Linked DNA regions of Xenopus tropicalis. The protein of the gene in region 1 interacts with the protein of each later gene in a pairwise test. Links are inferred from orthologs where the notes say so. Each region holds a gene or a part of one and is shown on either strand. Other genes may lie near its edges.

Region 1 (3,655 bases):
ACTTAAGGCCCCCATACACGGGCCGATAGAAGCTGCCGATATCGGTCCCTTGGACCGACTCGGCAGCTTATCTGCCCGTGTAGGGGCAGAAACGAGTGGGCTGGCCGACCGATAGCTGGCCTGAAATTGGCCAGCTATCGGTCGGCCAGGTTAGAAAATCCAGTCTCGCATCATAATGCAACCCCTACCTTACTTAGTTCCATTGTGCAGTGAAGCATTCTGGGACTAGAAAGTCCCTACTTTCCATTGTGAGTGGTGCACAGATTCTTTGGAAAGCAGGAGGACGTCAATTACCAGAATCCATCACTACACAGTGGAACAAAGTAAGAAAGGGGTTGACGGTCATGGTTTTCTTTCAGTCTATGCAATCAGGTGTGTATATCTGGTTTCAGTTAACACCCACTTATCTTTAGCAGAATACTTCAGAATTAACTTAAAGCATCTACTGATGTGAAACCTGTTGATATTGTTCCAGAGAACTTATTGAAATGCTTGCACTTTCAAGGAACCAGAAGCTCAGCCAACCTGGTGAAGAGAACCAAGTGAGTCTGTAGATATGCAGTTTTGATTTACAGATTATAGAATGAATATAACTACAAAACAGTTGATTGCATTACTATTAATTTTACATATGTTACATCGTTTATATGCAATTGACATATTGCTAGCCTTGATGTAGTCAAAGGGATATGACTAGATAAAGGACAATTTGCAGTGTTTACATATTGATGAAATATGATCTAACTGTATATGATAAATATGATTTATATTTGAAAAGTTGTAATTCCTTTTTTATCAGTAAAAATAATCATTTGAGCCTGTCGACTTCTCTCCCTATTTTTAGTTGTATATATACCATAAAATTAAGCATCATCATGATAATAATTATTCATTTATAAAGTGCAATGATAACATAATTCTATTATTAAACATTATAACAAATGGGGGGGGGGGTCTTATAATAATTTAACAAACAAGTTATCGAATGAAATAGGATTTGACAGCCCTGCTCACAAGAGCTTACTATCTAAATAGCTTATACTTTCATCTAAATCTATAGGTATTCTTTCTTTTCAATTCAAAATGTGGCAATAATCCATCTATGTGGCAAGAGGAAAGATACTGTGCCTCCTCATCCTAGTTGGATATAACAACCCCAGCAGTATTTGATAGACACCAATAGGTTGCATTTGACTCTGTCTGCCCTCTGTGCAGTGAGCTATGGTAATGGCTTTTTTGCTCTCCTTTTAAATGGCAACAGTGCCCAGCAAATGTAACTTTTATTTGTATTATGGCTTACTATTTACTGCATGCCCCACTGAAATAAGCCTGCTGTATAATGTGTTAAACCCCCCAATCTCCCCCCCCCCTTCCTTAGTGCCCACAATGCAGATATTTGCCATGAAGGAGGAATAGCTGTTATGTGGGCATCCCTTATTTAAAGGAATACTATCAAGGGTACCAATGCTGTTTTAAAATACATTAGTTAATAGTATTCCTCACACAAATCCTCTGCTGAAATATAGCTAGGTTCAGAGGGCAGGTAACTGAGCATGCTGTCGGGGGGTACATTCCTCCTGGATAGTACTAAATGCAGAACTCTGCTGTACTGGTCTGTGAACGAGTGCAAGAATAGAAGGGTTGGTAGGAAATTCAGGTAAGGCACTGCAAACTGCTGGATTAGAGTGCCTTCTGTGGTACAGTGTGTGAAGTCTAGATAGAGGAGGAGCAGCAGCAGAAAGTATGTACTGAGACATGCTCTGTTGTGTATGACAAGGCAGTCTTACGGAGTAGTTACATTCTGTGATTCTGTTCATGATTTTAGTAGATACACAGCATGGAAATAAAATTTACTGACCTGGTAGATAGCAAGTATTATCAGAAGCAATGTTATAAATGAAAATTATAATAATATATAATTATATTATAAATAAAATATATGAAGTTACAAATTAGCAACTTAAGAGGTAATGCAATAAAAGGTCTAAAGTTTGCCCACACCTAGTAACCAACTGCAACCAATCAGATGCTTTCATACCACTGACCAGTAAATATCTGCTATCTGTTGACTGGTTGCTCTGGGTTACTAGACAAAATGCAGACTTGAGACTGTTTATTACATTCCCCCATTTATTTGGTAAAATACATTGTTTACGATGTGTATTACATAACAGGCAAATGCATTTTTTAGTAGTTAGTTGTTCATCCTTGCATTACCCTATCTCTCTCAGGTAACTTATCACAGTACCCAATTCTGTCTGTTTTTGTCAGATTTTAGAGTTACTAATTCAGAAGGATGGGGAATTCCAAGAACTAATGAAAGTGGCATTAAGCCAGGGGAAGATTCACCAAGAAATGCAGGTTTTAGAAAAAGAGGTGGAGAAGAGGGACAGTGATATCCAGCAACTACAGAAACAGCTGAAGGAAGCCGAACACATATTGGTAAGCTCTAGAAATAAACAACTGCTGGCAGCTTTTTGTCGTCTGCTTATATGGAACAAGCATGAGTTGATTCTGAGTAGAAATTTTTACCTCCGTGCTTATTCCTAACTGAGTAATAATCTTATTCCTAACTGAGTAATAATTATTGTATTGTTTTTTTAGGTATCTTGGTCCCCAGTGTTGCTATACTTTGCTTCAGGAAATGGGTTGTCTTGAACCAAAAGTACTTTTTCCTATGTATTAGCAATGCAACAGCTATTAGGGGACTGACACAACACTTTTATTAATAACTCCACAGCAGACAATCCAGTAATCCACAATGCAAGAGAGTTCTCTACTCACTTTGAGATACCACGGCAACAATTTAAATTTTGATTCTGTGTTATTTTTTCTTATTTAAATAATTCATTTATGCCTCTTTCCATCCTGGAATATGGTGTCATATTATCAGAATGACAAGTGCATTTTCAAGGATAAAAATCTCCTTACTAAGGTAAATTGGTAAATAATGCCATGCAATCTGGGGAAAATACAGTACTAATCTAACTGCACGTTTCCACAAGGTGTCAGTAAAGGGGTAGTTAAGTATATACGTTCTCATTTTAAAAACTAAATTTAGTTCAGGTCCTAAGCTGAAAAGTAATCACGTGTTCCACCACTTATCATAACAACATGGCATTAAAACCACTGTTTAATTGGAGCTAGCAGAGGGATTCTCTACCCAAAAACTGTTTTTACAAAACAAAAGGAAATGTAATTTAAGCAATTAAAATATAAATTAATTAAATAAAGGTTTTACAAATATTTATTGCAGGTGAATGTTGTATTTGTTTATTTCTTGCTGTTCTTTGGGTCTGATTCTTAAAATGTATCAAGAGTCATTTATTTTTTAGGTCCAGGCTTCAGTTGGCTTCTGCTATATTGTTTCAGAAGTCAGTGTCAGGAATGCAGACAATATAAACCAGTTTTTGTTTGGAGCTTATCTAAACTAATTGCTGTGACTAAGGAACACTAAGTTAGCTTTCTTTAGAATAAAAATACATGTATTTGGATAATAAAGCTTCTTTTACTAATGTTATCACTTTTTGAATGTTGGGGTCATCTATATTAGTGGATGTCAAACACAGGGCTTTCAGATGTTGTTGAACTACAACCTTCAGCACTTGGTGGGAATTTTAACCTCCTCTCTTTGCCTCGTATAATTTTATTTATA
Region 2 (3,755 bases), on another chromosome or scaffold:
GCACACACACATGCACAAACACATGCACGGACACACATGCACACACACATGCACGCACACACATGCACGCACACACACATGCTTGTCTGAAGGGTGGGCGAGAAGGCCACTGACTGCTATGAACAATTTTGAAAGCCTGGATCAATACTGTTAAAACAAGGGCTGCTGAATTTCTGGGCTGACACAGTACAGGTGGCCATACACTGTAACATCCACCTACAGGTGAGCGATATCGGGCTAAAACAAACAAATTAAAATGGCGGGTATAGGCGCCCTCGGTTTGGGGACTGCATCAACGAGCCAATGCAGAGTTTGATCCGACGGAAAAATCAAACCTGCCCAATTGAGATCCGGCATAGATCTTGATCGGCTGAAATCGGCCCCTGTATGGCCTTGTTGCACATACAAAACACAGCATCTCTAGCCATATTCATTTTTAGGCTTTAGTTCTCCTTTAAAGGCAAACTGTAGGTTACTGAGGCAGATGCTGCTAACCAGTGATTGCTGCTATTAATAAACCAAAGGGGAACTGATATGGGTATGTACGTATGTATGTATGTATATCTTTATTTATAAAGCGCTACTTATGTACGCAGCGCTGTACAGTAGAATACATTAATACAAACAGCGGGTTAAAGATAATGGATAAATACAAAGTATAACAATAAATACAAATAAATACAAGGTACAGTTGCAATAAGAGTCAGAAACAAGATGAAGGAGGTCCCTGCCCCGTAGAGCTTACAATCTATATGGGAGGGGTAACTAACAGACACAAATGGGTACGTGCTTATTTGGGCATTTATGCCTAATGTATTTGTGGAGCATATTATAACAACAAAATGAAAGGTGTAATTGGGCAGAAGCTGGGCACGGAAGGTCACATGATGTTAGGCACCCTGCATACCTTCCCGTACCTGCAGCGCATTTGGGGAAAGAGAGACCAGAGGCGCGCCAGGCTCCCCCCCGGGACACGCCCCCTATTGGCTGACTGCTGCAGACACGCTCTTGCACGCCGAGCTATGTGTTGCCTCCACAAAGTATGCGCCACGCCCACACCCGCCCACCTTCCTGCCGGCCCCGCCCCTCCCCGAGTACCAAGTCGCTGTGTGTATGAGTTCGGCTCTGTCCGTCGCCTCTTCACTTACCGGCTGTGTGCCTCCTGTATGTGCAGAGCCCGAACGCTGCCTGAGGGCGGTGACTGGAAGTTGCCTCCTTTATTCCGACTCATTTGCCATCGCTAGAGGTGCCTGTGCCGTGCGCTTATCCCGCTCCGAGCGCCACTGAGCCAAGTAAGTGAAGGTGTGAGAGTTGCTCTCAGTGCTGCTCCCCCTGCGCTCCCAGCGGCTGCTCCGCCTCACCCTTCCGCGCCCAGCAGCCCGCTCTGTCCTGGGGCGCCTGTTAGTATGAGCTGTTAGTATGTCCTGGGGCGCCTGTTAGTATGCGCTGTTAGTGTGCGCTGGGGCGCCTGTTAGTATGCGCTGTTAGTATGCGCTGGGGCTCTCCCTTGCCCTCAGCGTGTAGCTGCGATTTCTGCCTATTGCTGGCAGGTGTTTGTGCTGTTAGGGAACATGGGCTTTGCTCCTGTCACATATAGAGACCCGTAGTCCCTGTATGTACCTCACTCCTATTAGGGGTAAGTCAGGAAAATGAAGAGAGTTTGCCCCCCTCAGGCCGGGGCTAGACCTGCAGCTTTCCAGTAGCAGTTAATCGCAGCAGGAACTATTTGCACTGGTGCTTGGTGGGCAAATGTCATCAGGGATTCTGCCAGCCTTGTTACCTGCCCAGTGCCTGGCAGCTGACAGATTGCACATACAGGGGGTAGGTACCCTCCTGCCAAGGCATCATGGATATAAGGCAGATGGCTACTTACTGGCTACATGCTGTTGCACTGAGCAGCATATTTGCTTTTATGGCCCCAGGCACAGGAATTGATGAGACCTGTCTGCAACACGATGCAAAGAGTAGCCACAAACTTGTGATTGGGCTGTAAGTGTCAGAATGGGGGTAACAGCAGTGCGCAAACATACTGGGCTCCTGTAGGGTGTTACCCTGCTAAATGTATTATGAGAGTAGTACTAGTCAGTGAACTAGAGATCTATAACTTTACAACCTACCTGCAGCTGCTAGTGAACTGTATATCCCACTACCCCTTCACAGTTTTTACTAGGTACTTTACAATTGGCAAACTTCTTCAGTCCAACCTGCATGCATCCAGGTCCTGTTAGATTGTCTTTTGTAGCACAGCCTTGATCATTCCTGAGTGGGGATTGCAGTTCAACAACAACATTGTGGGCACAAGTGTATTTAGGGAACAGAGTCTGTAGAATGATAATGCATAAAGGCATGCCCTGGCTAGAATTTTGTGCACATAGTATCACAATGTGAGCTAAGTCATGTTTAATTGTATTGATAGAAAGCAGCTTCTGAAATGGTTGTTAGATTCATTGTTACAATCTCACTGCTCTATTGTGGGAATGCACTTTGTTAGTATGTTTATTTTATCAATCAACAACCTGTTCTGCAGGAATGATTGTGGCTTTACTGAATAGTGCGGCACCTTATGCTTCCCTCTCTGTTCCACTGTATGAGCACAACCTGCCAGCAAATACAATGAATAGTAATTAGTAATTAAGAATAATGAATATATCTTTGCATGTGCTGCATTCTGTTTATAGTGTTCTTAATATAGTTAATTGCCCCATATTTATTGCTGTATTTAGAACGGCTATACTGTATGTCATTTGTTTTTTTATCTTCCCTGTACCTTTAGTAAAGCACAGAAGTAGAGGTAGGGAAGGCAGGGATATATATATCTATATCTATCTATATATATATCTCAATATTTTTAGCTGAAGTCTTCTTTATTTTTCCTAGTTTAGAAAGTAAAGTGTGAAAGCATAACTTACTGTACACAACTTTTTAGGAGTATTGGGGTTTATACATATTAGTATACATTGCTTGGTTTTCTAGAACCTTCTCCTAGGACTGATATGCCAGAGCCATTTTTGACCAGTTGTGGTATTGCTGCATTGGTGTGTTTTGTGGTGGTGCAACTGGAGCCAGTGGTATAGCTTGCCCCCTCTGTGGTATAGCTTGCCCCCTGAGGATGCAGGGTCTGCTCCCCCACTGACTGGATGCCATTAGACTCCAGATTAAAATGCAGGGCTGTGGAGTCGGAGTCGAGGTGTCGGAGGCAATTTTGGGTACCTGGAGTCGGAGTCGGCAAAAAATGAACCGACTCCGACTCCTACTAAATTTAAATGGGAATAAAAAAAAAAATAAAGCAAGTTTAAATGTCCCAATTCACAAACAGTCATAATTAATTACTTCTCCGCTATAAGAATAAAGCCCAATGCACACAGTGCATAAACGAACACGTTGAGTGACCATGAAGCATGCTTTTCATTGACTGTATGAATGTATAAAATACATTAGCATATTAAAAACAGAAGAGTCGGAGTCGGAAGTATCAGAAACTGAGGAGTCGGAGAATTTATCTACCGACTCCACAGCCCTGTTAAAATGTCATGTTGCTGATTCCAACCCCCCAAAAAAATTAAAGATTCAAGACTTTTTTTTTAATCTGACCCCTGTTGTATTGTTTGATAGCATATATTTATTAAGCTCCAACATATTTGGCAGCACTGCACAATAAATGGGTGTATACACTGAACATACAGATTACATGCAAAAACAACTACTGACAGCCCATGCAAGAGATAAAGAGAGCCCTGCCCAAAAGAACTTGCAGT

What was found.
Region 2: the proteins of med4 (region 1) and tnfaip8 interact in binary tests that used the Homo sapiens proteins (3 or more experiments, as listed by UniProt). The two-hybrid records come from large-scale screens. The link is inferred for Xenopus tropicalis from reciprocal best matches to the Homo sapiens genes MED4 and TNFAIP8.

The regions. Positions count from the first base shown.
Region 1 is NC_030678.2:134,874,608-134,878,262, reverse strand, and holds part of med4 (mediator of RNA polymerase II transcription subunit 4), read left to right. Parts: intron 1-475; coding exon 476-542; intron 543-2,271; coding exon 2,272-2,442; intron 2,443-3,655. UniProt on the Homo sapiens protein: Component of the Mediator complex, a coactivator involved in the regulated transcription of nearly all RNA polymerase II-dependent genes.
Region 2 is NC_030677.2:170,621,492-170,625,246, reverse strand, and holds the start of tnfaip8 (tumor necrosis factor alpha-induced protein 8), read left to right. Parts: upstream 1-1,137; 5' UTR 1,138-1,291; coding exon 1,292-1,292; exon of another isoform or gene 1,293-1,302; intron 1,303-3,755. UniProt on the Homo sapiens protein: Acts as a negative mediator of apoptosis and may play a role in tumor progression.